2 linked regions of the Stegostoma tigrinum genome follow. The protein of the gene in region 2 binds, or shares a complex with, the protein of the main gene of each other region. Links are inferred from orthologs where the notes say so. Each region holds a gene or a part of one and is shown on either strand. Other genes may lie near its edges.

What was found.
Region 1: tonsl (region 2) and mms22l share a complex: the UniProt entries of both Homo sapiens proteins name them as parts of the MMS22L-TONSL complex. The link is inferred for Stegostoma tigrinum from reciprocal best matches to the Homo sapiens genes TONSL and MMS22L.

Annotation. Positions count from the first base shown.
Region 1 is NC_081357.1:51,709,291-51,725,463, reverse strand, and holds the start of mms22l (protein MMS22-like), read right to left. Parts: upstream 6,579-16,173; 5' UTR 6,517-6,578; intron 1,877-6,516; exon of another isoform or gene 1,773-1,876; intron 1-1,772. UniProt on the Homo sapiens protein: Component of the MMS22L-TONSL complex, a complex that promotes homologous recombination-mediated repair of double-strand breaks (DSBs) at stalled or collapsed replication forks.
Region 2 is NC_081355.1:160,274,910-160,290,975, forward strand, and holds the start of tonsl (tonsoku-like protein), read right to left. Parts: upstream 8,736-16,066; 5' UTR 8,569-8,735; intron 3,579-8,568; 5' UTR 3,406-3,578; intron 2,349-3,405; 5' UTR 2,275-2,348; intron 1,779-2,274; 5' UTR 1,744-1,778; coding exon 1,644-1,743; intron 1-1,643. UniProt on the Homo sapiens protein: Component of the MMS22L-TONSL complex, a complex that promotes homologous recombination-mediated repair of double-strand breaks (DSBs) at stalled or collapsed replication forks.

The sequences.
Region 1 (16,173 bases), on a different chromosome or scaffold from region 2:
TATAGAATCTTGAAAGATGACCAGGAATGGATCCACTATTTCTGGTGCCACTTCCTTAAGCACTTGAGGTTGCAAATGATCTGTCACTGGGGATTTATCTGTCTTTAATCTGATGACTTTCCAAACTCTATTTCTCCACGAACACCGAATTCGTTCAGTTCCTCCTCACTAGACCCTATGCTCCCCAGCATTTCTGGGGCATTATTTGTATTCTCCTTTATGAAGTCAGAACAAATATATATTTAATTGGTTTGCCATCTCTGCTCCCTATTATATTTTCCCCTGTTTATGATTGTAAGGGACGAACACTTGTCTTCACTAATCTTTTTCTTTTCACATACTAATAGAAGCTTTTGTACAATCAGTTAATACATTTTCTGCTAGCTTACCATAACACTCTATTTTCTCCCTCTTAACCAAAACCTTTGTCCTTTTTTGCTGAAATCTAAATTGCTCCTAATCCTCAGGTCTGCTACTTCTTTATTCGACAATTTACACACCTCGTCCTTGGATCTAACATTATCCGTAATTTTCTTTCATAGCCTTGGTCAGGTCACGTTTCTCATTGTGTTTTTGTGCCAAACAGGAGTAAGTCTTTGCAGTTCCTCCATGAGTTCTTTAAATGATTGCCATTGCTTATCTACCACGTAAATACAACAGTCAAGAAGGGACAACAATGCCTCTTCTTCGTCAGGTAGCTCAGGAAATATGGCATTTCCATAAGGACCCTCACCAACTTCTACAAATGAGCCACTGAAAGCATGCTGTCCACATACATAACAGCCTCATATGGCAACTGCTCTGCCTAGGACTGTTAAGAAACTACAGAAGGTGGTGTGCACAGCCCAAACCATCATGGGAGCCAACCTTCTATCCATGGACTCTATCTACACAGCCCACTGCTGCGGAAAGGAAGCCAACATCATCAAAGTCCCACTGCATCCTAGTAATGAGCTCCTACAACCTCTTCCATCAAGCAGAACACACGCACGAGCAGGCTCAGGAATAACTTCTTTTCAGCCGTTATCAGACTGTTGGATGGACTCTACCTCAAATAACGTAACCGGTATGCCTCCACGTATTTGTGATCTGTACATCTTTTGCTTGCTGTGACCTGCCTGTACCGCTTGTAAACCATGCTTTTCACTGTATTTCAGTACACGTGACAATAAAATCAATTAACATAAATCAGCTCTTTAAATAACATTCCCCAATTTATCATAGTTAGTTCACACCTATTACAATTGTAGTTCTCTTTCTTTAGATTCAGGACTCCAGTCTCAGAATCAACTGCTAGGGTGTAATACCGGACAGGCTGGTGCAATTTTCCTGAGGGCAGAGAAGGCTAAGGGGGGCGCCTGTTTGAGGTGAACAAAGTTCGAAGGCACACAGGGAGGGCAGATGGAACCGAACTTTTCTCCAATAAAAATGAGGTCAGTAACTAGGGAGCGTAGTTTTAAGTAAAGAGCGGGAGGTTTAGAGCTGATTTGAGGACAATACTTTTCACCCAAAAGATTGTAGGCATGTGGAATGTGCTGTCTGAAAGGGTGGGAGAGGCAGGAATCGGCAAAACAGTGAAGAACAGTTTGAATGAGCATTTGAACTGCCACAGCATACAAGGCTACAGGCCGTGGATTAGAACAGATGGATGTTTGATGAATGGCACGGTGTATAAGAAGCAGGCTCAGTCTATCTGACCTGCTTCCAACCATAAGGCTTAGCATCAGTCTACAATATCCTGTATAAGACTTATGCCTGCGTAAAAGTCTCACCATCAGCCTGCTAAAACCAGCACAAGTCCATATGGGTTGCTCCTGCCCACAAGGTTCAGCCATGGTATAAATGATCCTGCTGCTGTCTACAAGTCGCAGCCCCAATCTGTACGATCTGTCTCTGTACAGGTCACAAACCCAGGGTCTATGATGTCTCCCTGTAGAGGTTTCAGCCCCAGTCTGCATGATCTGTCCCTGCACAGGGCTCAGCCCAAGTCTGTATGTTCTGTCCCTGCACAGGTGTCAGCCTCAGTTTGTACGATCTGTCCCTGCACAGGTCTCAGTCCCAGTCTGTATCATCTGTCAGTGTACAGGTCTCATCCCCAGTTTGTATGATCTGTCTCTGCACAGGTCTCAGACTCACTCTCTACGATCTGTCCCTGCCACAGGTCTTAGCACCAGTGTGTATGATCTGTCCCTATACAGGTCTCAGCCCCAGTCTGGATGTTCTGTCCCTGCACAAGTCTCAGCCCCAGTTTGTATGATCTGTCCCTGCACAGGTCTCAGTCCCAGTCTGTACGATCTGTCCCTGCACAGGTCTCAGCCCCAGTCTGTATCATCTGTCCCTGCAAAGGTCTCAGCCCCAGTCTGTGTGATCTGTCCCTGAACAAGTCTCAGCCCCAGTCTGTGTGACCTGTCCCTGCACAGGGCTCAGCCCCAGTCTGTATGATCTGTTCCTGTACAGGGGTCAGCCCCAGTCTGTATGATCTGTCCCTGCACAGGGCTCTGCCCCAGTCCGTATGATCTGTCCCTGCACAGGTCTCAGCCTCAGTCTGTATAATCTGTCCCTGCACAGGTCCCAGCCTCAATGTGTGTGATCTCACCCTGTACAGGTCTCAGCCCCAGTCTGTATGATCTGTCCCTGCAAAGGACTCAGCCCCAGTCTGTCTGATCTGTCCCTGCACAGGTCTCAGCCCCAGTCTGTGTGATCTGTCCCTGTACAGGTCTCAGCATCAGTCTGTATGATCTGTCTCTACACAAGTCTCAGCCCTAGTCTGCATGATCTGTCCCTGCACAGGTCTCAGTCTCACTCTGTATGATCTGTCCTTGCACAGGTCTCAGCCCCAGTCTGTATGATCTGTCCTTGCACAGGTCCCAGCCTCAGTCTGTACGATCTGTCCCTGCACAGGTCTCAGCCCCAGTCTGTGTGATCTGTCCCTCTACAGGTCTCAGCCCCAGACTGTGTGATCTATCCCGGTACAGGTCTCAGCCCTCGTCTGTGTGATCTGTCCCTGCACAGGGCTCAGCCCCAGTCTGTATGAATTGTCCCTGCACAGGTGTCAGCCCCAGTTTGTACGATCTGTCCCTGCACAGGGCTCAGTCCCAGTCTGTATCATCTGTCCCTGTACAGGTCTCAGCCCCAGTTTGTATGATAATCCCTGCACAGGTCTCAGCCTCATTCTGTATGATCTGTCCCTGCACAGGTCTTAGCTCTAATCTGTATGATCTGCCCCTATACAGGTCTCAGCCTCAGTCGGTATGATCTGTCCCTGCACAGGTCACAGCCCCAGTCTGTATGATCTGTCCCTGTACAGGTCTCAGCCCCAGTCTGTATGATCTGTCCCTGTACAGGTCTCAGCCCCAGTCTGTATGATCTATCTCTGCACAGGTGTCAGCCCCAGTCTGTATCATCATCCGTCTCTGCACAGGTCTCAGCCCTAGCCTGTATGATCTGTCCTGCACAGGTCTCAGCCTCACTCTGTATCCTCTGTCCTTGCACAGGTCTCAGCCCCAATCTGTATGATCTGTCCCTGAACAGGTCTCAGCCTCATTCTGCATCATCTGTCCCTCTACAGGTCTCAGTCCCAGTCTGTGTGATCTGTCCCTCTACAGGTCTCAGCCCTCGTCTGTGTGATCTGTCCCTGCACAGGGCTCAGCCCCAGTCTGTATGAATTGTCCCTGCACAGGTGTCAGCCCCAGTTTGTACGATCTGTCCCTGCACAGGGCTCAGTCCCAGTCTGTATCATCTGTCCCTGTACAGGTCTCAGCCCCAGTTTGTATGATAATCCCTGCACAGGTCTCAGCCTCATTCTGTATGATCTGTCCCTGTACAGGTCTTAGCTCTAATCTGTATGATCTGCCCCTATACAGGTCTCAGCCTCAGTCGGTATGATCTGTCCCTGCACAGGTCTCAGCCCCAGTCTGTATCATCTGTCCCTGCACAGGTCTCAGCCCCAGTCTATGTGATCTGTCCCTTTACAGGTCTCAGCCCCAGTCTGTGTGATCTGTCCCTGTACAGGTCTCAGCCCCAGTCTGTATGATCTATCTCTGCACAGGTCTCAGCCCCAGTCTGTATGCTCTGTCCCTGCACAGGTCTCAGCCTCAGTCTGTATCATCTGTCTCTGCACAGGTCTCAGCCCTTGTCTGTATGATCTGTCCTGCACAGGTCTCAGCCTCACTCTGCATGATCTGTCCTTGCACAGGTCTCAGCCCCAATCTGTACGATCTGTCCCTGAACAGGTCTCAGCCTCAGTCTGTATCGTCTGTGCCTCTACAGGTCTCAGCCTCAGTCTGTGTGATCTGTCCCTCTACAGGTCTCAGCCCCAGTCTGTGTGATCTGTCCCTGCACAGGTCTCAGCCTCACTCTGTATGATCTGTCCTTGCACAGGTCCCAGCCTCAGTCTGTACGATCTGTCCCTGCACAGGTCTCAGCCCCAGTCTGTGTGATCTGTCCCTCTACAGGTCTCAGCCCCAGACTGTGTGATCTGTCCCTCTACAGGTCTCAGCCCTCGTCTGTGTGATCTGTCCCTGCACAGGACTCAGCCCCAGTCTGTATGAATTGTCCCTGCACAGGTGTCAGCCCCAGCTTGTACGATCTGTCCCTGCACAGGGCTCAGTCCCAGTCTGTATCATCTGTCCCTGTACAGGTCTCAGCCCCAGTTTGTATGATAATCCCTGCACAGGTCTCAGCCTCATTCTGTATGATCTGTCCCTGTACAGGTCTTAGCTCTAATCTGTATGATCTGCCCCTATACAGGTCTCAGCCTCAGTCGGTATGATCTGTCCCTGCACACGTCTCAGCCCCAGTCTGTATCATCTGTCCCTGCACAGGTCTCAGCCCCAGTCTGTGTGATCTGTCCCTTTACAGGTCTCAGCCCCAGTCTATGTGATCTGTCCCTTTACAGGTCTCAGCCCCAGTCTGTGTGATCTGTCCCTGTACAGGTCTCAGCCCCAGTCTGTATGATCTATCTCTGCACAGGTCTCAGCCCCAGTCTGTATCATCTGTCTCTGCACAGGTCTCAGCCCTTGTCTGTATGATCTGTCCTGCACAGGTCTCAGCCTCACTCTGCATGATCTGTCCTTGCACAGGTCTCAGCCCCAATCTGTACGATCTGTCCCTGAACAGGTCTCAGCCTCAGTCTGTGTGATCTGTCCCTCTACAGGTCTCAGCCCCAGTCTGTGTGATCTGTCCCTCTACAGGTCTCAGCCCCAGTCTGTGTGATCTGTCCCTCTACAGGTCTCAGCCCCAGTCTGTGTGATCTGTCCCTCTACAGGTCTCAGCCCCAGTCTGTATGATCTGTCCCTGCACAGGTCTCAGCCCCAGTCTGTGTGATCTGTCCCTGCACAGTTCTCAACCCCAGTCTGTATGATCTGTCCCTGTACAGGTCTCAGCACCAGTCTGTGTGATCTGTCCCTGAACAGGTCTCAGCATCAGTCTGTATGATCTGTACCTGCACAGGTCTCAGCCTCAGTCTGTATAATCTGTCCCTGCACAGGTCACAGCCTCAATGTGTGTGATCTCACCCTGTACAGGTCTCAGCCCCAGTCTGTATGATCTGTCCCTGTAAAGGACTCAGCCCCAGTCTGTCTGATCTGTCCCTGCACAGGTCTCAGCCTCACTCTGTATGATCTGTCCTTGCACAGGTCTCAGCCCCAGTCTGTATGATCTGTCCTTGCACAGGTCCCAGCCTCAGTCTGTGTGATCTGTCCCTGTACAGGGCTCAGCCCCAGTCTGTGTGATCTGTCCCTCTACAGGTCTCAGCCCCAGTCTGTGTGATCTGTCCCTCTACAGGTCTCAGCCCCAGTCTGTGTGATCTGTCCCTCTACAGGTCTCAGCCCCAGTCTGTGTGATCTGTCCCTCTACAGGTCTCAGTCCCAGTCTGTATGATCTGTCCTTGCACAGGTCTCAGCCTCAGTCAGTATGATCTGTCCCTGCACAGGTCACAGCCCCAGTCTGTATGATCTGTCCCTGCACAGGTCTCAGCCTCACTCTGTATGATCTGTCCCTGCACAGGTCTCAGCCCCAGTCTGTATGATCTGTCCCTGCACAGGTCTCAGCCCCAGTCTGTGTGATCTGTCCCTGTACAGGTCTCAGCATCAGTCTGTATGATCTGTCTCTACACAAGTCTCAGCCCTAGTCTGCATGATCTGTCCCTGCACAGGTCTCAGCCTCACTCTGTATGATCTGTCCTTGCACAGGTCTCAGCCCCAGTCTGTATGATCTGTCCCTGCACAGGTCTCAGCCCCAGTTTGTATGATCTGTCCCCGTCCAGGTCTCAGCACCAGTCTGTATGATCTGTCCCTGCACAGGTCTCAGCCTCAGTCTGTATAATGTGTCCCTGCACAGGTCCCAGCCTCAATCTGTGTGATCTCACCCTGTACAGGTCTCATCCCCAGTCTGTATGATCTGTCCCTATTCAGGTCTCAACCCCAATCTGTATGATCTGTCCCTGTACAGGTCTCAACCCCAGTCTGTATGATCTGTCCCTGCACAGGTCTCAGCTCCAGTCTGTAGGACCTATACCTGTGTCGCCAGATTCTTTTTTCCGCCTGTTTCTTTTCCGGCTTCCCGCGTTTCGAGTGACGTTTTTGCGCGCATGCACACCTCTCCGTTAGTGATTGGTCAGGGCCTTTGTGCAGCGGCCTTGTGATTGGTCGAGATTTGTATGAATCGTCAGAAGCGCGCCCCCAGCTGAGGGAGCGTCTGAAATGACCGGGCTGGAATGCAGGCGAAAATCTCCTATCTCTGTCCCAGCAATCACCACAAAGGGTCCCAGGGATTCAGATATGCATCATGTTCTGTGTTTACATTGTTTCATGTTCGTGCACGGACGGGAATTTTTCGTTAAGGTTCTTCCAACATTGTATGTTGTCCTTTTGTAACAGATCTCTAAGCGGAGAAACCCAGAGGATCAAGGACGTGAATTGACTTCAGTCGCGTTTGATCCATGAAATGCGATCTAATTATCATTTTTGAAAAATTGTGTAAAACGCGTTTGTTTAGATGGTGTAAGGCAATGTACATGATAACCCCAAATTATGAGTGCATCGATTCGCGAAACACATCATTCAGCAGCAATCAGCTGGAATATAATCCGAGATCTTGCTGGATCTGTAACTGATCAACCCATATAAACAAAAGTCCAGACCCCTGTTACTTTTATGACTTTAAACTATTGGTTGGGTGATATCACACACATTTCCTAATGGAATAATCACGTTTAAAATAAATACTAAAACGCATTTGGCCTCTAAATAATTTATTATGTATAATCAAGCCTATCATTGATTGCTTTAATTCAATATTTCTGTCAATTTCTGAAACCAGACTGCTAAACTTTTACTGTGCATAACTCAATCACTTCTGTTCACTGTGACAATGATGCTGAATAATGCAGTGCAGTCATGCTGAATATGAAGACGGTGTTAACTGAATAATTTCCATAATTTTTTAATCGCTTTAACTTGGAGAACAAAATGAATGTATTGCATTTAAATAAAGTGTCTGTAGTTTGTGTAACTCCGCGTGAGGAGCTGCCCATCACTGCACCTCGCTGGGGTTCTTTCTGTGTGTGTTCTTGTCTAATTAAAAAACAGTACATCACAGTTAAATAAAATTGCACCCAGGATAACCCATATTTCCATATGCAGATTTATCGGCACTGACAGCCCTCTCTCCCTCTCTCTTATTGTCTGCATTCCCCTCCTTATTAAAAAAAGACAAACACGGAGAGAAATCTGATGCAGCTTCCCTGATTCTACAGAAAAGGATTCATTCTCTCTAATGTCTACAATTTTTTTTCTTCTTCTCTCAAGATGTCCTGTCAGCCAGTAATTTGAGGAAATCAGCCGGGACTTTTTCAGATTCGCAATGGGCAACAGCATTCCGTGTTTTCTTCGTTCTTGTCGCCGAAGGAAATGGCACAAATATTTGAGACTGAGGGAAAGAGAGTTCTCTAGAGGGGAATATATTTTTGTTTGTATTGATAATAATTCATCTGACAGCTGGGAGCATTTGGTGGATATGCTGTTATGTGCGGTCAAGTGGACTCTGTCCCTGTCTCTGGGCTTTAGAGAAGATCCGCAGAAATAAATCTCAGCATTATGTGGAACTGAGGTAAGAGGTACTGTATGACCTAATATATTTTAAGGCCTTATTTAGATTTTCAATGACTGATTTTTGTTTTGCAGTACATTTATGAAATGCCAAGGCAAAGGGTGACGGTTTTTGCTAACAACTACCTTAGAGAAAACAACCGTGTAATTTCTTTACTGACTAACCAAATGTTTGTATTGTTGAAAAGAAAACATTATTGGGAATAATAGCATTTAATTTATTGTCATTGAGTGGCTGTATTTACATATCATATAAGATTATCTTTGTTCCTTTACTGTGCAATATAATTTATAATATCATGAATTGATTAATTTTATTATGCAAAGCAGAATTATTTTGATAATCATTACCGACAAAAGTAAAAATTATCTCAAAATCATGGGTAAGTGTATTGAAATAAAACGACCTACATACAAAATACAGAAACTGAGTGGACAGGCAAAGAAATAAGACAATTATCTTTAATTTTCCAATGCATCCCAACATTGCTCTTTGTATCAACCGAGAAAGAAAAATTGCAGCACCCATTAGAATTTCTAATTTTACAACACAGCACTGACAAGTAAGCTCACTCGGTGAATTATTCACATCTTTAATTTGCTCACTTAATGACAGTGTTCTGTAATCAGAGTGCAGAGGCTGCCTTACATGCATTATGTATGATGTGTGATACTTAATGCAGGACATTATGGAGCTCTTAGTGATTCAGTAATTAGTTTTCCATAACACAGTACTTGGATGCTAAACTGCTGGAACACATATTTCAAACACAGTATATGGTGTAACTAATGAAATTGCATCTTCCTGGATAGTCCACTGAGACTTTCAGCCAGCTTGTGGTGTATCAAAAAGCATTATCGGCCTGTGGTTATTTCAACTAAAATCACAGGGTCTTTGGGTATCTTGCTATGCAGTTTAATGCTGCTTTACTAAATAAATTATATGTATCTTGTGAATATGCATCGTCCTAAGGTTCCAACTAGATTGTCCACAGTTAATGTGATTCCAAGTAAATTTGTTCTCCTGCTGTTCTTAATCAATTTTGCATGGCAAGAAAATCAGACTTGTTATTTACCCTTCCTGTAAATGAGGGAATATCATCTTACAGAATTTAATCAACAGCATGACAACAACTGTATTACATGCTGTGCTTGGAAATACATTTTTTCTTTTTAAGAGTTCTGTGCTCCCAGTATTTAAATCTGACCAACTCACAAATGCCTGTTTTATCTTCAAGGTTGTTTTCAGTCGGTGAATCAAACAAGGTAAAGTGAACAAATTAGGGTGAATGCTCAGTTTCCACTTACCCGATAAATCCTATTCATGGAATAACGGTCATAGACATATACTAGATCACATGGCATAGCTATGAAAATTTCAATAAAATTTGGTCCAGCTTCTCTGATGGTCAACAAGTTTGCTTAGTAATTTACTCATTCCAAAGCTAAAAACAAAACTATTTTCGATAAATTTGAGTTGTTCATTATTTTCACCTTCTTGTAGGCCTTTCACTACTTTTAATCAAACTCCTGAAAGGCGATGAAAGGGAATACAAAAATATGGACATTTTCCTTACAATTGGTTGTAACGCATTATACAAAAGCATATGAGAAAAGAACACAAACTTTAACATAATAATTTTAATACTTTTTTATTGCACCAAATAAAAAATACTCAAGTCAAAGTACAGTACACAAACTGAATTGCTGAGCAGATTAAAGTTTTCCATACTTACTCAGGATGCACTGTACTCATGCACTTTGTTGACTGCTGAAGCTTTTCCTCAAAATTACTTAGCCCAATGAACAGGATTCATTTGAGGTGGCTGAATGCATTTATCTGCCTAGGGGTATGAATCCAGAAAACAGACAAATAGGTAACAATTTCAGTTATTATCAAGTGTGAGATTCAGAGAACATCAATTTCATAGCTAAAGAAACTCAAGATTGATTGGACAAAAAAACATACTTAACGTTCTGTTTCTTAAAGTAATGTGACAGTGGTAATGTAGACAAAATAAATTTTGGAACATTCAAAATTTTATTCATTCTCCACTAAGCTAGAAAACAACTCAGAATCATGGATCTGGTACAGGTTAGAAGGAGGCTATTCATGTGTCTGTATCTGCCACCTGAGTTAGCATCTTGGCTTAGTCCCATTTTCCCTGTAACCTTGAATATTGTTTTTGTTTAATTATTAATCCAATGCCCTCTTAAATGCCTTAAATGAACCTGCCTCCATCACAATTCCAGGCAATGCATTACAGACCCAAAGTACTCCCTATGTGAAAAAGACTTTTTTCCCCATATTACATTTGTATCTTTTGCAGATTACTTTATATCACACAGCTCATTCTCAATCCTTTATTGAGTGAGAACAGTTTCTCCTAACCTACTCTGCCCAGCAGCCTCATGATTTAGAACATCGCCATCAAGTCTCCTGTTAGCCTTCTCCTCTCCAAGCAACTCAGCCAGAAGTTCATTTATCTATCTTTGCTGAGCCCTGGAACCATGTTTTTTAAACCTCTTTGATATTCTGACCAATGTGTTTACATTCTTCCTGTTGTGTGATGTACACAACAGTACACAATACTCGAGCCAAGTTCTAACTAGTGTCATTTACAAGTTCAGTGTAACCTCCTTATTCTTGTACTCTATGACTCTATTTATAAAGGCTAGGATATTGAATGCTTTATTAATTCCCTGTGCTGTCACTTTGACTAACACATACACTCAGACCTTTCTGTTCCTGCATACATGTTAGGGGAGTAACTTTAAGTTTACAATGCCTCTTCATGTTTTTTCCACCAATATGGCCACTTCTCCACATTCAAATTTGTCTGCCACCTGTCTAATCACTCCACCAGGCTGTCCTTTTGTAGTTTTACACTGTCCTTCTTACAGTATACAATGGCCGAGGTTGTGAATCATGATAGCCTTTTCAAACCACTTGTTCAGCTCCAGTTGGAGTATTGTATCCATTGCTGGGTTTCTGATATGGCAGAAGGCTCTGATTAAAGTCAAGACCTGAAATGTTAAACCCAATTTTCTGTCCAGAGGTGCCGCTTGACCATCTTAGTATTTCTACCTTTCATTTTCTTAAATTTTAGATTTGTAATTGACAGTTTACAATGGTTCCAGGTTTTGTGTTTTTATTTATCCATTCATAGGTTATGGACATCACTGGTTGGACAAGCAGTGATTAGAACAAAGTCAGCCAGTTGGACCCATAGAATATGAGTCCCCTGATTGGGACAATTAATCTGGTCCAATCAAGGAGCCCTGGCTGACAGATAGAAACAGTAGTGTCAGACATCTTGTCACTCTAAGAACTGGCTCTGCGGGAGCTGGATCAGTGTCAAGGCCTTTGCATGTGTAAATAAAGGGTGACTCGGTGACAGGATACTGGCCTCTCTGGAGTTATTTCAGTGATGATGAGAGTAAAGCACAACTCTGAAGAAATCCATGTGCAATCGTCACCTTTGAGTGTGGGAAAGCATTTCTGGCATCATGTTAATATTTTGAAGGCTTGACTCACTTGTTCCTGCCATCGAGGACTAGGTCCAGAATGTGGAATTTTTTTTTCCCAGGCAAATTAAAATGGGGCAGATGAAAGGCAGCAGGTAATTCTGTTGACAGCTTGTGGACTCACAGTGTTTTCAATTATTAAGAGTCTAACTTTCCCTGAGGCACCAGATACCAAAACCCTTCAAAACTGATGCCTTGAGCTAAGGAATATTATGATCCCCAAACCACCTCTAATTTTGAGACGCCATTGGTTTTCCTCAGCAATTTGAGAACCAGGGGAATCTGAATTGGGATTTTTGACTCAGTTAAGATGATTCACAGAGGTATGTGACTTTTGTTTAATCCTTAATGAGATGATGAGAGACCATTTGGTATGTGGGATTAATGATGTAACCATGCAAAAGCACCTACTAGCTGAAGCCCAATTGGGCTTCAAACAGGTACTACAACTGGATTTATCATTGAAAAATGTGACAAGTGAAGCATATAGGTTGCAGGGTATTCCAAAAGAAGTTGATACACTCGACAGGCCAACTGAGCTTGGGGAACACCACCTGAGTGAAGGCAATTGCATTGCCTAACTCACGATATATCCTGAACAGAGGGACTCTCGGTTAACCCACAGCAAAATCCCAAAACAATGGCAAGCTTGGCCAAACAGTTAAAATTTTCTTCAGGGTCCTGGCCAACAAGCCTTATATTTGCTGCCGCTATGCAGACTCGAGACGGCAAATGAGTCCCACTAGACATAAATTGAGTAAGAGAATTCCTAGGCCGGTATCTGGGGAAATGCACACCCTGAAAAGTCCACCTACATCTGGTTTGGAGCAGTTAAATTGCTTAGCGACATCCAAATCAGAACCAATCAAAGTATTTAACCAATCTGGATAAATGGTCACCCGGTTCTAATGGAGGTTGATACCGGTGGCTGCTGTTTCGGTGATCGCAAAACCAGACTTTAACAACATTCGGTCTGGACTTCCACCCTTACATTTGTGCAAGACATCAGCCAGACTGAAAATCTACAGTGGGGAGCCTTTACAGATTAAGGTTACAACTTCAGTTCTAGTCTTTTCTGAGAAGCAGCTGGTTCAGTTACCAGTGATTGTGGTGGTTGTAATGCAAGACTGCTATTTGGGGTATCGTCAGCTGTATAATTTTTCAGCAGATGATGGAAAACATTTTACAAAGTCATCCCCAGGTTGCCATTTATCTAGATGATCTAGAGAAGACCAATAAGGAGCACTTAGAGAACTTGAACACAGTCTTTTAACATTTCTCCCAGGCTTGTCTCTGCCTTGGAAGGTAAATATGTATGTTCCAGGAACCCCAAGTGACCTACTTTGGCTGCAGATTCAACAAGACTGGGTTACACCCATTGGGAGATAAAGTGAGGGCGATCAAATGTATCTTCGCTCCCCCATCTGGACTGGAGCTTAAGTCTTTCCTTCGGCTGGTGTATTATTACAGAAAGTTCATACATAACCTGGCCTCCATCCTGGAAACTCTGTATCAATTTTCAAAAACAGGTCAACTTTCAAATTGGTCACATAGACAAGCCATAATTTTCAGGGAAGTGAAGAAACAGTTATCATCCACTAAGGCATTGGCATACTATGATCCCAAGAGATCTGGTATTGACATGCAATGCCTTCTGTTATGGCACCAGAGTAGCATTAGCTCATTGGTGGCCCAATGGAGAGGAATGTGCATTAGTATATGTATCCAGGACTTTGGTTAATGCAGAGAGTAAATATGCCCAAATAGAGAAGGAAGGTTTGGCGGTCCCATTTGGAGTAAGGAAGTTCCACCAATACCTTTATGGATGTCAGTTTGTAATAACAATGGACCACAAACCTCTGCCAGGACCACTTAAAGAGAACAAGGCAGTGTTGCCCATTGCTTCAGGCCGAATTCAGCAGAGCTCAAAAATTAAGTGCGTATAACTACAAATTGGAACACTGTCCAGGAGATCAAGTAGCAAATGTGTATGCATTGAGCCACCTCCCGCTGGCAGATACACCACCAGTTGTACCACCACTGGAAGAGCACACAGTGGTTTTGAATTGTCTGGGTGCACTTTCAGTCACAGCTGACAATATCAGACTTTGGGCGCAGAAAGATGTGGTCCTGGCAAAACTGAAACAGCTGATGGTGATGGGGGTTATCAATGGGCTGTCACAACCAGAACCAAAACCTTTTTGGACTTGCACAGACGAGATCACAGTGGAGGATGGCATGTTATTATGGGGAGCAAGAATGACTTCCCCAAGTAAAGGTCACTGCCAGGTGTTGGCTGAAATGTATCAGGTTCATCCAGGGGTTTCCAAATGAAGATGTTGGTGAGTAGTTATGCCTGGTGGCCAGGAGTGGATGCATATATAGCTGCATTGGTAGAGCAGTGCCCAGAGCGCCAACAAGGACAAAAATTACCACCAGCAACTTCCACAGATTCGTGGGAATGGCTGGGTAAACCCTGGACTCGGTTACACATCGACTATGCAGGTCTTTTCATGGGCTCAATGTTCTTTGTCATTTTGGATGTCCACCAAAATGGCCGGACCTGCATAGCGTCCACTTGTCCAGCACAGGAACAACGGTAAGAAAATTGTGTGCATCTTTTGCAATACATGGACTCCCAGAAGCTTTGGTCTCAGATAACAGTCCATCTAGCACAGAATTTATTTATTTTATAAAGTTGAATGGCCCTCAACATGTAAAGACAGCTCCATATCATCCATCATCCAATGGTCTGGCAGAAAGAGCAGTCCAAACTCTGAAGCTTAAAGAAATAGCCGACAGCATCATTCCATATCAGACTGTCCCTGTTTGATGATAGGACAATCCATCATGAAATTACATCAATAGCTCCAACAGGGTTGCTAGTGGAAAGAAGACTCTGCACCTGATTAAATCTGATCTTCACGGACCTTGGGTGAGGCTGAAACAGCATCAGGAACACCAATGCCAGACTCTGGTAAGTGAGAGAGACAGTTTACTACAGGAGACAAAGTTTGTTGTGTGAAACCCTGCACGGTTAAGAGGCTTGGTTGTCATGCGGTCAGGTCCAGTGATGTATAAAGTTCAGATAGGTGCAACAGTCCTGAACAAGCATGTGGACCATCTGAGAGTTGCAAACTCTCAAACGAGGTGGGAATGAAGTATGCCTGGCTCCTCAGCAAGGTCAGAAAGGGTGTTGCCGCTTCGACACCTTTGCTGCCTGAAGAAGACAGTGACTTTCTCCCAGGATGCTCCAGGCAGAAGAGGCAAGCTACTGTGCGTTACACACCACCTGTATCTAAGGAAGGAACCTGACTTGGTGCTAAAGTGCCCCAGGAGGTGCTACTAAAAAAAAATCTGACCTATGTCCTCAGATTCAAGAGGGGAAGGGTTGTGGTGCTAGCTCATAGAATATGAGTTCCCTGATTGAGGCTGTTAAATGGTCCAATCAGGAGGTCCTGGCTGACAGATATAAACAGGAGTGTCAGCCTTTCTGTTTGCACTGAAAGATAGCTCTGAGGAAGTTGGATCAGTGTCAAAGACTTTCCACATGTAAATGAAGGATGATTTGGTGTCATGAAACTGGCCTTTGTGGAGTCACTTCAAGGCCAGTAATCATTGCTTACCCCTAGTTGGCCAGAGGGCAGTTGAAAGTCAACGACATTGCTGTGGGTCTGGAATCCCATGTAGGTCAGACCAGGTAGGATGGCAGTTTCCTTCCTGAAAAGACATCAATCAACCAGATGGATTTTTACCCTGACAATTGACAATGGTGTCATGATCATCATTATCCTTTTAATTCCAGATTTTTATTGAATTCAAATTCCATTGTCTGCTGTGGTGGGATCCCAATGAAGGTCCCCAGAACATAACGTGCATCTCTGGATTAATAGTCTGGCAATAATACCACTAGGTCATTTCCTAGGAGTCGTACGCACAGGTCAAAACTGTCCTCTGCACACCAAAAGATGATGGAATTAGACACACCTCTGTGAAGGGTTTTCCCTTTGGTTGTTCTTAAATTTAAAAAAACAAGATCAGCATGTAAAATCTCAAAAATCATCCTCTGGAATAGTATCAATTTGTGAAACACAATCTAAAATGACAATCAGCATTTCATTAGTGAAATTATGGGTGTCATTTTTGAAAATCCTTTGAATATACAAATAGCAGAAATAAAGAATGAAAAAAAAAAGTTAATTTCCTTCTTTGTCACTGCTGCCCCAGGATAAATCTGGAAATTAGTCAGGTGATTAATCTGGATCAAGTAGTCTCCTGCCATAGGTCATCTCATAATACTCAGAACCCAGGGATGGTGTTGGTTGTTAGTTTTCGATTTAGTGTTTAAATACAGCAGCCAGAATGCCTCAAGTTGAAAACAGTATCTGGTACCTGTAAACAGAAGGCTCTTCTCTCTGGGCTCTGCTTATTGTTTTCTTCATCCCCTCAGTTGTTTTAATTTAATAATCTAAGGTGAATTGGATGCAGGACCTAAGGCCCATGTCTTCACTTTAACACTCACAATAGTTTTCAACAG
Region 2 (16,066 bases):
TGGGGTACAGTGTAGAGAGAGCTTTACTCTGTATCTAACCCCGTGCTGCCCCTGTCCCTGGGAGTGTTTGATGGGGGGAGAGTGTAGAGGGAGCTTTACTCTGTGTCTAACCCCGTGCTGCCCTTGTCCTGGGAGTGTTTGGTGGGGGACAGTGTCGAGGGAGCTTTCTTTTCTATTTCTTTTCAGTTTCAGAACAGTAGAGAGAGCTTTACTTGCTCAATAATGGCTTCCAGAACATAGCTGTACCCTCTCTGGGATTTCCATCTCACAGCCCTGGCACTCTTTGCTTAAAGATTCATATCCTCAATATGAGGAATCCACCATTTCATAATTTGGGAGAACCCAAGATATCTGATTTGAAAATGTAAGTTTTTATAGCTTATTAAACATAAACCAATCGAGATTGATAACTGGCTTAAAAACCTCAGCAAAGATTTACTGAATTTCTTACCAGGTCAGAACTACACATGAAGACTGAATTACTGCATCTGAAAATGCTTTACAAAAACAACGTCTAAAATATCCACAGATAGTAGGAGCTGCAGATGCTGGAGGATCTGAGATAACACGGTGTAGAGCTGGATGAACACAGCAGGCCAAGCAGCACCAGAGGAGCAGGAAAACTGATGTTTTGGGTTGAGATCGGCTTCACACTGTGTTATTTCTAAAATATCCAGCCTGTTATATGTGTTTCTCAGCGTTTCAGTGGGGTTAATTACCACTTAATTCCAGCTTGGGATGTGAGTTCAGCCCAACAAAATCCCTGGATCCTGGAGCTACAGGGTTGAGTGTATCGTGATTGGATTGAAGTCCAGACTCCGAACCCTAACCCACTGCACATACCAGGTAGCCACCTCTCACGTTGCAAAAACACGACTGTCTGAGCAGATGAACTCCCCAGAATGGTTTTATAAAACAATTATTTCATGGGTTATTTGCATCACTGGGCTGGGCCCAGCATTTATTGCCCGTCCCTAGTTACCCCTTGAGAAGGTGGTGGTGAGCTGCCGTCTTGAACTGCTGCAGTCCAGAGCTTGGGGAGTGGTGTTAACGGTGATGGAGTTCCAGGATTTTGACCCAGCAACAGTGCAGGAACGGTGATATATTTCCAAGTCAGGATGGTGAGTGGCTTGGGCGGGGGAACTTGAAGGGGGTGGTGTTCCCATGTATCTGCTGCCCTTGTCCTTCTGGATGGAAGTGGTTATGGGTTTGGAAGGTGCTGCCTGAGGGTCTTTGGTGAATTTCTGCAGAGAACCTTGTAGATGGTACACACTGCTGTGACTGAGTGTCAGTGTTGGAGGGAGTGGGTGTTAAGGGTGATGGATGGATTGCTGATTAAGACAGGAAAAGTGACATAATCCAATCCTAATGAGTCTGAATCGTTCCTCTGTGAATCCCACTTCTTACAAAAAGCAGGAGTCAGGTGAATGGGAGTGTGTTGGGGAGTGGGACAGGTTACTCCAATATGATATTATTTAGCTCATCGCAGTTAACCACCCAGTGTGTGATTCTGACACTAATGATGCATCAATGGCCTAAAAATAGTGAGATACCGGCCTCAAAACACAAACCACTTCCACATCGAAGACTTTAAGTGGGCCTTCTTAAGACTAGAATTTTCTGCCTCAGCATTCTGAACTGACCTGTTAAGTCAAGGACATCCATCCATGATTCCCTCTGGGCTAAAGCAGTCAGGAGCCTCTCCATCCCACTGGTACTAATCCCTCGAGTTCTCCGATACATCAAGGCATGTGAGGGATGCAGCTGATGTCAAACACCTACAATAAGAGGGAGATAACTACCGAGTTCCATCACTCAGCTCAGGCCCATGGTCCGGATCCCACCGATCTCTGCAGCCAGCTGTGACTCGAGATGGAGCACAACTTCAGGAGAAGGATCTGACAACACTCAATATCGACAAGAAAGGGGACAGTGACACACCAGGCAGTGTCCCGATATCTCCCTGAGAGAGACACAGCACTGTGAGACACCAGGCAGTGTACCGAAATCTCCCTGATAGAGAGAGACAGCACTGTGAGACACTAGGCAGTGTACCGATATCTCCCTGATAGAGAGAGACAGCACTGTGAGACACCAGGCAGTGTACCGATATCTCCCTGAGAGAGAGAGACAGCACTGTGAGACACCAGGCAGTGTGCAGATAATTCACTGGATCATGTCTGGGAAACAGGCTGTGTTCTTGCTTGGTTTCTGACCTCACTGTTGGAGCAATTATATAAAAAGTCAGGGTGTTGAAAATGATTTCGAAATTACCTGGCAAAGTCCCTGATGGAGTCATAGGTCAATGAGTTTTTCGAAAGATTAAGGTGAGTCAAAACACAGCCTTCCTGGATTGTAGTAAAATATATTCAAGTCAATCAAACATGGAAATGAATCTTGTTATCGAGTTTAACTAGCAGGAATTCAAATTAATCGAATGATCAGCCAGCTCACTGAGACCTTGCTCCTTTAAGGAATGCTCAAGCATCTCTGATGGTAGCGAGTTTTGAGAAGATTTGTAGCTCAGATTGAGGTTCTGGATGTGAGTTTGCTCGCTGAGCTAGAAGGTTCGTTTTCAGACGTTTCGTCACCATTCTAGGTAACATCATCAGTGAGCCTCCGACGAAGCGCTGGTGTTATGTCCCGCTTTCTATTTATCAGTTTAGGTTTCCTTGGCTTGGTGATGTCATTTCCTGTCCTTTTTCTCAGTGGATGGTAAATTGGCTCCAAATCAATGTGTTTGTTGATGGAGTTCCGGTTGGAATGCCATGCTTCTAGGAATTCTCATGCGTGTCTCTGTTTGGCTTGTCCTAGGATGGGTGTGTTGTCCCAATCAAAGTGGTGTCCTTCCTCGTCTGTATGTAAGGATACGAGTGATAGTGGTAGACATCCCCAACCCAAGGAACCCTAACCAGATAAATAGAAAGCAGGACATAACACCAGCGCTTCGTCGGAGGCTCACTGATGATGTTACCTAGAATGGTGACGAAACGTCTGAAAACTAACCTTCCAGCTCAGTGAGCAAACTCACATCCAGATTTCTGATGGTAGAGTGTTAACATTGTATTCCAGGGACCCAGGCTAAACGTTGGGTCAGCATCTCTTACTGATCTGTATACAGCGAGTTACTTGCTAGGCCAGTTGAGAGGGCAGTTTGGAGACAGCTCTCTGTGGTTATAAAACCGTGCGTTTGTGTTACCACATACATAAAACAGCTGGAGCTGTCACACTGCGTAATGTGAGAACAGTGTGTGACAGCCAGCTCCTCACTGACATTTCCCACCACACTGGCTCAAGTAAGACAGTCTCTTTGAAAAAAACGAACAGGAAAGTACCTCAGCCAGAGCTTCGAGTGACTGTGGGACAGAGTGTCCGGCCCTGATAGCACCTAGTGTGATCCCTTACCTGGGTGAAGTACCTCGCAACCAGCTCCAGGAATTGCCTGTCCTGGTTACAGGATACTGAGGAGATCTCGAGATGTGTTAGGATGTCATGAGGAAGATTCTTCAGCAGAAACTGGACCCCTTTTAATCCCAGCTGGTTGTTGGAGAGGTTCAGAGTTTTCAGGTGCCTGGTCCCTGAGCGAGTAAAGAAGATAGGGTTAGGGACTGGGCAGTGCATCATCAGATGGACGAGGTCATTGCACTGTCACAGATCAGCTCAGGGAGGCTTAGAGCTGATCACCAACCCATAATAATAACTATCAAATAACTCATCCATTAACAGATTGAAACACAGCTAAAACATTCCAGTCAGAATGATTCCAATTCATTAGCGATGATGTACTTTTGAAATTAAAATCACAATTTATCTCGCAACACCAATACAGGGTCAGCGCTGACCGAACGCCGCACTGTCAGAGGGTTAGTGCTGAGGGAGCAGGCACTGTCGGAAGGTCAGTGCTGAGGGAGCGGGCACTGTCGGAGGGTCAGTGCTGAGGGAGTGGGCACTGTCGGAGGGTCAGTGCTGGAGGAGTGCTGCACTGTCGGAGGGTCAGTGCTGAGGGAGCGAGCACTGTCGGACGGTCAGTGCTGAGGGAGTGGGCACTGTCGGAGGGTCAGTGCTGGAGGAGTGCTGCACTGGTGGAGGGTCAGTGCTGAGCGAACGCCGCACTGTCAGAGGGGCAGTGCTGAGGGAGCACCGCACTGTCGGAGGGTCAGTGCTGAGGGAGGACCGCACTGTCGGAGGGTCAGTGCTGAGGGAGCGCCGCACTGTCGGAGGGTCAGTGCTGACGGAGCGCTGCACTGTCGGAGGGTCAGTGCTGAGGGAGGGCCGCACTGTTGGAGGGTCAGTACTGAGGGAGTGGGCACTGTGGGAGGGTGAGTGCTGAGGGAGCGGGTACTGTTGGAGGGCCAGTGCTGAGGGAGTGGGCACTGTTGGAGGGTCAGTGCTGGAGGAGTGCTGCACTGTCAGAGGGTCAGTGCTGAGGGAGCGCCGCACTGTCGGAGGGTCAGTGCTAAGGGAGTGGGCACTGTCGGAGGGTCAGTGCAGAGGGAGTGGGCACTGTTGGAGGGTCAGTGCTGGAGGAGTGCTGCACTGTCAGAGGGTCAGTGCTAAGGGAGTGGGCACTGTCGGAGGGTCAGTGCAGAGGGAGTGGGCACTGTCGGAGGGTCAGTGCAGAGGGAGTGGGCACTGTCGGAGGGTCAGCGCTGAGGGAGCGCCGCACTGTCTGAGGGTCAGTGCTGAGGGAGCGCCGCACTGTCGGAGGGTCAGTGCTGAGGGAGTGTCGCACTGTCGGAGGGTCAGTGCTGAGGGAGGGCCGCACTGTTGGAGGGTCAGTACTGAGGGAGTGGGCACTGTGGGAGGGTGAGTGCTGAGGGAGCGGGTACTGTTGGAGGGTCAGTGCTGAGGGAGTGGGCACTGTCGGAGGGTCAGTGCTGGGGGAGTGGTCGCTGTCGGAGGGTCAGTGCTGGGGGAGTGGGCGCTGTCGGAGGGTCAGTGCTGAGGGAGTGGGCACTGTCGGAGGGTCAGTGCTGAGGGAGTGGGCACTGTCAGAGGGTCAGCGCTGAGGGAGCGCCGCCCTGTCGGAGGGTCAGTGCTGAGGGAGTGCCGCACTGTCCGAGGGTCAGTGCTGAGGGAGCGCCGCACTGTCCGAGGGTCAGCGCTGAGGGAGTGCTGCACTGTTGGAGGGATCAGTGCTGAGGGAGTGGGCACTGTCAGAGGGTCAGCGCTGAGGGAGCGCCGCACTGTCTGAGGGTCAGTGCTGAGGGAGCGCCGCACTGTCGGAGGGTCAGTGCTGAGGGAGTGGGCACTGTCAGAGGGTCAGCGCTGAGGGAGCGCCGCCCTGTCGGAGGGTCAGTGCTGAGGGAGTGCCGCATTGTCCGAGGGTCAGTGCTGAGGGAGCGCCGCACTGTCGGAGGGTCAGCGCTGAGGGAGTGCTGCACTGTTGGAGGGATCAGTGCTGAGGGAGCGGGCACTGTCAGAGGGTCAGCGCTGAGGGAGCGCCGCACTGTCTGAGGGTCAGTGCTGAGGGAGCGCCGCACTGTCGGAGGGTCAGTGCTGAGGGAGTGTCGCACTGTCGGAGGGTCAGTGCTGAGGGAGGGCCGCACTGTTGGAGGGTCAGTACTGAGGGAGTGGGCACTGTGGGAGGGTGAGTGCTGAGGGAGCGGGTACTGTTGGAGGGTCAGTGCTGGGGGAGTGGTCGCTGTCGGAGGGTCAGTGCTGGGGGAGTGGGCGCTGTCGGAGGGTCAGTGCTGAGGGAGTGGGCACTGTCGGAGGGTCAGTGCTGAGGGAACAGGCACTGTCAGAGTGTCAGTGCTGAGGGAGTGGGCACTGTCGGAGGGTCAGTGCTGAGGGAGTGGGCACTGTCAGAGGGTCAGCGCTGAGGGAGTGCCGCACTGTCCGAGGGTCAGCGCTGAGGGAGTGCTGCACTGTCCGAGGGTCAGCGCTGAGGGAGTGCTGCACTGTCCGAGGGTCAGCGCTGAGGGAGTGCTGCACTGTTGGAGGGTCAGTGCTGAGGGAGCGCCGCACTGTCGGAGGGTCAGTGCTGAGGGAGCGCCGCACTGTCGGAGGGTCAGTGCTGAGGGAGTGGGCACTGTGGGAGGGTGAGTGCTGAGGGAGCGGGTACTGTCGGAGGGTCAGGGCTGAGGGAGCGGGCACTGTCGGAGTGTCAGCGCTGAGGAAGTGCTGCACTGTTGGAGGGATCAGTGCTGAGGGCCTTGTTCACCCCCAGTCGAACATCAGCACCTCCATATCACGAAATGTGAAGTTATACACTTAAGTGTGAAAAACAGACAGGAAGTGAGTGTATCATTTAAATGATGACATTTAGGGAGGTGTGTATGTGCAGTGGGATCTGGGGGTCCTTGTTTACAGCCAGTGAAAGTAGATGGGCAGATGCTGCAGGGAATTAGGTAAATTAGCCTTTGTTGCAAGAGGACTTGAGCTCAGAAATAGGGATATCTTACAGTAGATATACACAGGGCCCTGGGGAGACCTTGGTGAGGTCTCCGGGCCTAAGACAAGATCAGATGTCACACAACACCAGGCTACAGTCTGGCACTTCGTTTGAAATCACAAGCTTTCCCAGCTCTGCCCCTTCATCCGGTCACCTTGATTTATTGTCACGTGTATCAAAATGCAGTGAAAAAGCTTTGTTTGCGGGTGGTACAGGCAGATCATAGCAAGAAGTACAGATCAAAAAGACTGAGGTACACAGGTTACATTGCACAGGGCAAGCTCAGATCAACGTTAGCAAGATCAGCATTATTTGAGTCTGGAGGGTCCATTCCTCAGTCTGAGTACAGCTGGCAAGACGCTGTTCCTGAACCTGTGCATGTGCGCGTTCAGGCTTCTGTGTCTTCTGCCTGATGGAAGAGGCTGCAGGAGAGCATTACCGGGGTGCGATGGGTCTTCAATGATGTTGGTCGCCTAATGAAGGGGCTATGCTCTGAAAGCTTGTGATTTCAATAAACCTGTTGTTGTGTGATTTCTGACCTTTTCCACCCCAGTCCAACACCCGCGCTTGCACATCATTCTTTGGAAAAAACATAGTTGCCACGAGGCAATTTCTGTAATGTTCTGGAGTGGCAGATGGAGTTTAACCCTGAAAAGTGTGAGGTGATTCATTTTGGAAGGACAAACTTGAAAGCAGAATACAGGGATAACGGAAAGATTCATAGCACTGTGGAGGAGCAGAAGGATCTTGGGGCTCATGTTCACAGTTCCCTGAAAGCTGCCACCCAGGTGGATAGCATGGTTAAGAAGGCGTATGGTATGTTAGCTTTCATTAGTAGAGGGATTGAGTTCAAGAGCCATGAAGTTATGCTGCAGCTGTACAAAAGCCTGGTTCAGCCACATCTGGCGTATTGTGTCCAGTTCTGGTTGCGTCATTACAGGAAAGATGTGGAAGCATTGGAAAAGGTGCAGAGGAGATTTACCGGAATGTTGCCTGGAATGGAGGGAAGATCTTACGAGGAAAGGTTGAGAGAGCTCGGGCTTTTCTCTTTAGAATGACGAAGGATGAGAGTTGACTTGACAAGTGTACAAAATGTTCAGAGGTATAGATAGAGTGGACAGCCAGAGACTTTTTCCTCGGGTGAAGGTAGCTATTATGAGGGGACCTAGTTTTAAAGTGAGTGGAGGTAGATATAGGGGAGGTGTCAGGGGTAGGATCTTTACAGAGAGTGGTCGGGGCGTGGATTGCCAGAGAGGGTAGTGGAGTTGGCCTCATTAGGGGCATTTAAGTGGCTATTAGATAGGCATATGGATGATAGTATAAGGTAGGGGTGGAGGTTTGATAGACCTTAGGATTAGGGTAAAAGTTCAGCACAACATTGTGGGCCGAAGGGCCCGTGCTGTGCTGTTCTATGTTCACAAGACTGATAGAGAGAATTAGCAGATCTGTCGTAAGAGGAGAAAGTGGTTTGAATGGGCCTGTTGAGAAGGATGAGAAATGTATAAAATTCTAACAGGATCGGGCAGACCAGATGCTTAGGGACTGAGATGAAAAAATATTTTTCACCCAAAGGTTAGGAAAGGTGTGGAATATTTTACCATGAGGGCTGTGGAGGCCAGGTCACTGATCGCATTCAAGAAAAAGATCGATATGTTTCTAGGTTTTAAGGGTATGAAGGGGAATGGGGAGATATTGGGAATATGGGATTTAGATAGAGGATCGTATTGAATGGTGGTGCAGTATTGAAGGGCTGAATGGCCTCCTCCTGCTCCTAGTTTCTCTGTTTCCAAGTGAGTGTGCACTTTCCCAGGATGGTCTGCCTCTAACTCCGTCCTTGTCCTCTGTGCAAATCCCTGGGACTGGGATATCAGCCGTTCCAGCTGGAGACTCTATCTAATAGAGTCACACAGCACAGAACAGGCCCTTCGACCCAGCAACTCTGTGCTGACCGATCTACACCAGTGACACTTCACAGCGCTGGGCTCACAGCATTGAAAGTTGTGATATTTCAAATGTCCATCCAAGTACATTTTAAAAGGTTGTGTTTCCCATCTCAACCACCGACCCAGGTACAGCATTCCAAACTGCTGTAACTGTGCATGGAAACTCCTTGCGCAAAGCTGAGGGGGAGTCAAGGTGTTGTCACGATCTGAGTTCTATCTGTCTTGTACCTTTCACTGTGCAGGTCAGAGCGAAGTTCTGCAGGAACTTGGCTGTGAGCCCACAGGCCTGGAGTTTGAGTGTGCTCAGTAGAGGGCAGGATCTGATGAGAGAGGCTACAGACTGAGAGCAGCCATCACCCAAAGGATTGAGGCTGAGGTTCAACTCCTCCAGACTCTGAAACACAAAACAAAATTCAGGCTGTGAATTATTTTGAGTGTAAATTAAGACAGTGCTATGTCTCCCCTGGCACCCACCACTGTGCTCTGTGTTAATTGTACCACTCAGGTTAAAAATCTTGGGAAAGTCACTTCTGCCAGACTGAAAACAAAAAAATAAATGCTGGCGATCACAGCAGGTCAGGCATTTCTCTCTGTGGTTGCTGTCTGACCCGCTGTGATCTCCAGCATTTGCCGTTTTCAGCACACATCCTGGCACCTGCAGCAATTTGTTCCTACATCGTCCTAGCAGACCTTCCGGATTGTTCTCTTGTGGCAGGAGAGACCAGGATCTGAGGGCCCGGCCTCAAGGGGAGAGGACTGAGACGAAGAGGAATCTCTTCAGCCAGAGGGTGTGGAACTCACTGACACAGAGGGCTGCAGGGGCCAGGCCATTGAGTGTATTTCAGACAGAGGTGGGTAGGGTCCTGGTGAGTGAGGGGTTGGAGGGCTACAGGGAGAAGGCAGGAGAATGGGGTTTAAAAAAAATGTCAGATTGTGATTAAATGGTGCAGCACACATGGGCTGAGTGGCTTAATTCTGTTGCTGTGACTGGCTGTCCATGCTCATATCCCAAGAACTGAATCAAACTGGAGAGTAGTTTGAGATAGAGCTGAACCTATGTTGCTGGATACAGTGATAATAGGAACTGCAGATGCTGGAGAATCTGAGATAACAAAGTGTGGAGCTGGATGAACACAGCAGGCCAAGCGGCATCTCAGGAGCACAAAAGCTGATGTTTTGGGCCTAGACCCTTATCAGATGATCAGATTCACCCTTCCTCTGATGATGGGTCTAGGCCCGAAACGTCAGCTTTTGTGCTCCGGAGATGCCGCTTGACCTGCTGTGTCCATCCAGCTCCACACTTTGCTGGATATAGTGGTGAATTGGGTTGCTCTATCCCAGTGATCAGAGCATTGAGCAGCGTGCACTGTTGCCTGGTCTCCATCTCGGTGCTTTAGTAGAGCCAGGCATAACCCGATTGCTCCAAGAGGCCATCTGACCCATAGCCCTGCGTTCGCTCCTAAAAAGATGTTGTCCAGTTGCTCCCACTCTCCTTGCTAACGCCTCATCAAAACACTTACTAAGTTTGAACACCTCAATAAGATCTCATCAGTGTCCCCGCATGCACTGAATTCCCTCAACCCTCTGCACATTTCCCTCAGCAACTGATAGAAACAACGTCCTGGAAGGCAGGGGGTAGGCGGGTTCCGTTGGGTGTGTCAGGCTGTACAGGGGGGTAACGTCGGGAAGCTCTCCATCACACAGAGGGGAGTGGGGATCTGGAACCGTCCTCAAGCTCGACTGGGGGCAGCTGAAGCTGTCAGACTGAGACGGATAAATTCCTATCACTAAAGATAATTGAGGAAAACAAAGTAATGCCATGTGAGTGGAGTCGGGATACAGATCAGCTGTGATCTGACTGAATGGTGCGAACCACTGAAGGGGCTGAATGGCCTCCTCCTATCCCCACGTAGACTGGCAAGATCTCAAACCTGAAAAGCCGGATCCTCGTTTGGTCTGCTGGTCTCACCGAGAGTCCTCAGGCCTTGGTGTGTGATCTGATTGGAGGAGAGGTCCCGTACGGCCAGGTTGGGCATGGTCACCAGCTCCTCCATGGCGTCGTCACCAAGACGATTGGTGGAGAGGCGGAGCTGGCGGGTGGTGGTCTGCAGTTTGAGGGCCCGCAGGATGGGGGTCAGGTGCTCCTTGGTCAGCGACAGGCTGGATAAATCCACACAGGAATCTTTCTCCTGTAGCTGGAGAATCTTGAACATGGATGGGTGCACAGCTGCAAGCAGAGAGAGACACAACAAGGTTATTACAGCAACTGATAATACCCTGTCTTCGGAGAAAATCCAACTGTGGCACATCCCTGTTGCAACTGTTTATCCCTAACTGCCCCAGAGCAGAGTGTCTCACTCACCCAGTTCAAAGGACAGATAGGAATCAAGCACATCGCTGTGGGTCTGGAGTCACGTGTAGGCCAGACCAGGCGAGGATGGCAGTTTCCCTCCCTGAAGGGCATTATTGACCCAGATGGGTTTTTATAATTGATGATAACTCCCTGGTTCGCCATCACTGAGACCTGCTTTCACTTCCAGGTTTGGAGTCAGCCATGCAGCACAGAAACAGATCCTTTGGTCCTACCTGTCCATACCAACCAGGTATCCAAAAGTGATCTAGTCCCATGTGCCAGCATGTGGCCCGTATCCCTCTAAACCCTCCCTACCCACATACCCATCCAGATGCCTTTTAAACGCTGTAACTGTATCAGCCTCCACCACTTCCTCTGGCAGCTCCTCAGGTCCCTTTTAAATCTTTCCCTCTCACCTTAATCCTATGCCCCTCTAGTTTTGGACTCCCCCGCCCCAGGGAAAAGATCTTGACTATTTACCCTGTCCATGCCCCTCATTGATTGGTTCAAAGCTGGTGGAAATTTCCCAAATGGGAAGCCTGGATCCCTGGATAATGATGGCCGAGTGGTACCATCGCTAGACCAGAGACCCAGGTAATGTTCGAACAGGTTCAAATCCTGCCATGGTAGATGGTGGAATTTAAATTCAGTCAAATTCTGGAATTGAACACATAATGACGATGACCATGAAAGCAGTGGCACGAGTTATAAAATCCCATCTGATTCACTAATGTCCTTTGGGGAAGGAAACTGCCATCCTTACCTGGTCTGGCCTACATGTGACTCCAGACCCACAGCAATGTGGTTGACTCCTAACTGCCCTCTGAAATGGCCAAGTGAGATTCTCAAGTGAACTGAGACCCTAAGAAACCTCAAAAAGGAATGAAACAGACAGGCGACCGGGCATCACTGAAAAAGCACTGCAGAGTCCTCCTCACTAACAGCTGGGGTTTAGTGCCAAAATGGGGAGAGCTGTCTCACAGACTCGTCAAGCAACAGCCTGACACAGTCATACTCACCAGATCATACCTTATAGACAGTGTCCCAGACACCACCATCACCATCCCTGGATATATCCTGTATCACCAGCAGGACAGGCCCAGCGGAGGTGGGGGGGGGGGGGGGCACAGTGGGATACAGTCGGGAGGGAGTTAGGGAGTCCTCAACATGACTCCAGATCCCATGAAGTCTCATGGCTTCAGGTTAAACATTATTGGGTCCTAAAGGACATCGCTGCTCGACTGGGTCTGCTGCAGGTGGTGAGGGAACCAACAAGAGGGAAACACATACCCGACATAATCCCCACCAATCTGCCAGCTGCAGATGCATCTAAATAGAACATTGAACATAAAACAGTACAGCACAGCTCAGGCCCTTCGGTCCACGATGCTGTGCCAACCTATTATCCTACTCTAACATCAAACTATCCTGCATACCCTACAGTTTACTATCCTCCATTCGCCTATCCAAGAGTCACTTAAAAGTCCCTAAAGTATCTGACTCCACTACCGCTGTCGGCAGTGCATCGCACATGCCCGCCACTTTGTGTAGAGAACCTACCTCTGACATCTCCCCTATACCTTCCTCCAATCACCTTAAAATTATGCCTCTCGTGATAGTCATTTCTGCCCTGGGAAAAAGTCTATGGGTATCTACTCCCTCTATGCCTCTCATTTCTCCGTCAATGACAGTATCGGTCAGAGTGACCATGGCACAGTCCTTGTGGAGATTAAGTCCTACCTTCACATTGAGAATAACCTCCATCGTGTTGTGTAACACTATCCCCGTGCTCAATGGGACAGACTTCACACAGATCTAGCAACTCAAGACTGGGCATCCATGAGGCGCTGTGGGTCATCAACAGCAGCAGAATTGTACTCCAGCACGATCTGTAAGCTCATGGCCCGGCATATCCCCCACTCAACCATTACCATCCAGGCAGAGGATCAGACTGGTTCAATGGAGAGTGCAGGAGGGCAGGCCAGGAGCAGCACCAGGGATACCTGAAGATGAGCTACCAGCCTGGTGAAGCCACCAAACAGGATTACTTACACACCAGACAATGTAAGCAGCGAGCGACAGACAGAGCTAAGCGATCCCACAACCAACGTATCAGATCTAAGCTCCGCAGTCCTGCCACATCCAGCTGTGAAAGGTGGTGGACAATTAACAACTCACTGGAGGAGGAGGCTCCACAAATATCCTGATCCTCAACGATGGAAGAGCCCAGCGCATCAGGGCAAAAGATAAGGCTGAAGCATTCGCAGCAATCTTCAGCCAGAACTGCCAAGTGGATGATCCATCTCTCCCTCCTCCTGTGGTCCCCAGCATCACAGATACTAGTCTTCAGCCAATTCGATTCACTCCACGTGATATCAAGAAACAGTTGGAGATACTGGATACTGCAAAGGCTATGGGCCCTGATAACATTCTGCAATAGTACTGAAGGCTTGTGCTCCAGACGCTCCCCTACAAGAATTGTTTATCTTTTAAATACATTCATGAGATGTGGGTGTCACAAACTGGGCCCAGCATTTGTTGCCCATCCCTGACTGCCCTTGAGAAGGTGGTGGTGAGCTGCCTTCTTGAACCACAATAGACCAGCTGCTGTAGGGATAGCCACACTGCCCTATGGCAGGGAATTCCAAGCTGTTCCAGCACAGTTACAACACTGATATCTACCTGACAATATGGAAAATTGCCCAGATATGTCCTGTACATAAAAAGCAGGACAAATCCATCCCGGCCAATTACCATCCCATCAGTCTCCTCTCGACCATCAGTAACATGATGGAAGGTGTCAGTAACAGTGCTATCAAGCAGCTCCTGCTCAGCAATAACCTGCTCAGTGACGCCCAGTTTGGGTTCCGCCAGGGCCACTCAGCTCCTGACCTCATTACAGCCTCCGTTCAAACATGGACAAAAGAGCTGAATTCCAGAGGGTGAGGTGAGAGTGACAGCCCTTGATATCAAGGCTGCATTCGACCGAGTGGCATTAAGGAGCCCCAGCAAAACTGGAATCAATGGGTATCAGGGGCAAACCGTCTTGTGGTTGGAGTCAGACCTGACACAGAGGAAGATGGCTGTGGTTATTGGAGATCAATCATCTCAGCTCCAGGACATCTCTTCAGGAGTTCCTCAGGGTAGTGGCCTGGGTCCAACCATCTTCAGCTGCTTCATCAATAACCTTCCCTCCATCATAAGGTCAGAATTGGGGACGATTACACAATGTTCAGCACCATTCGTGGCTCCTCAGATACTGAAGCAGTCCATGATCAAATGTAATATGATCTGGATAATATCCAGGCTTGGGGCTGATAAGGGACAAGTAACATTCGTGCCACACAAATACCAGGCAATGACCATCACTAATAAGAGACAATCCAATAACCACCCCTTGACATTCAATGGTGTTACCATCACTGAATCCCCCACTATCAATATCCTGGGTATTAACATTGAGCAGAAACTAAACTGGACTCACCACATAAACAGTGGTTACAACAGCAGGCCAGAAGCTGGGAATCCAGCAGCGAGTAACTCACCTCCTGATCCCCAAAGCCTGTCCCACCATCTACAAGGCACAAGGCAGGAGTGTGATGGGATACTCCCCACTTGCGTGGATGGGTGCAGCCCCAAAAACACTCAAGAAGCTTGACACCATCCAGGAGAAAGCAGCTGCTTGATTGGCACCACATCCACAAGCATCCACTCCCTCCACCACCAACGGTCAGTAGCAGCAGTGTGTACGAGCCACAAGATGCACAGCAGAAATTCAAAGATCCTCAGGCAGCACCTTCCAAACCCAGAACCACTTCCATCCAGAAGGACAAGGGCAGCAGAAATATGGGAACACCATCCCCTCCAAATTCTCCTCCAATACACTCACCATCCTGACTTGGAAATATATCGCTGTTTTTTCAGTGTCACAGGGTCAAAATCCTAGAATTCCCTCCCTTAGGGCTTTGTAGGTCTAGCTATGGCACATGGACTGCAATGTTTCAAGGAGGCAGCTCATCAACATCTTCTCAAGGGGCAACTAGGGACGGGGGGCAATAAATGCTGGGCCCAGCCTGTGATGCCCATATTACATGAATAATAAAAATAAACCATCAGCCATTTCTGAAGAAGGGTCTAGGCCTGAAACGTCAGCCTTCCTGCTCCTCTGATGCTGCTTGGCCTGCTGTGTTCATCCAACTCCACACCTTGTTATCTCAGATTCTCCAGCATAGGCAGTTCCTACTATCTCTCAACACTACAACAGCATCTCCCCTTTAGACATGGACCTAAATCAATCTATGAACTGTCGGTACATTTGGGGGAGGTAGATCTAAGGGGTAGGTTTGTGGCAGGTTTGGAAAGTGCTACCGAAGGATCCTTGCTGCAGTACATCTTGTGGATGGTGCACAGAGATTTCTCAGACCTGTGAATAAAATGTTATTTCCGTTGTCCTTACCTCCTGCCAGACTGTCACAGGCCCTCTTATACCGTTCGGAGAGTGGAGGCAGGTCCCAGGACGTGACCTCAGCCAGGACCTGAAAAACATCAGAGTGCCTCTTGAGTGTATTCCCTTCTGACGGAAGCAGCATTTCTCCTGGAGCAATCGGTGACCCTTAGAACACAGAACACATGGTCCCAGTGCATAAGGCGACCAAAACCTGCCCTTCTGAATTCAATCTGAACCTGCAATACTGCAGGTTCACTATCCAATCGTTACAGTTCAGAGGCCATTCGATCCATTGTGCTGGTGCTAGGCCTCCCCTCGGGTGCAGTTCATATTCATATTCCACCCCACATCCGTGCACAGTCCTCGTCTGGGGGTATTTGGAGTATTCAGAAACGTGCTGCAATGGCAGGGAGACCTTCTGCATCTATCCTCATCGGGACCTGGGTAACAGGGCTTCAGCTCAATGCCACGTTCCAGCTGTTGGCACATGGCCCAGGAGGTGATGGACCTTGAGGTGTAGATCCAGGGTGGGAGGTGGTGGCCGAGTGTGGGGGATTTGTGAACCCATGCTGTTTGGCATTGCAAAGCGGCTGGCCCGGGTAGGGTCGGGGAGCTCTGCTGGCCGGTATGGCTGCTTTGCGATGCCAATAGTGTGGTTTCAATTCCCACACCAGCTGAGGTCACCATGAAAGACTCTGCTTCTCCACCTCTCCCCTCACTTTCTGGTGAAACCATCACCTGGCTGACTGTCTCGTGATTGAGGGGCCCCTATGGTCCTCTGGGGCTGCGGTGACGTTGCCCGTCCCGTGGTTGCGGTCACCTCCTCGTTGTCACGGAGAAGGTTGATGATTGGTTCGTGTGGAGAGAGCAGCGCTCCATCAAGGGTTAGAGAGAGCCGGGGTCGCACACCACACTCGGCACTGTAT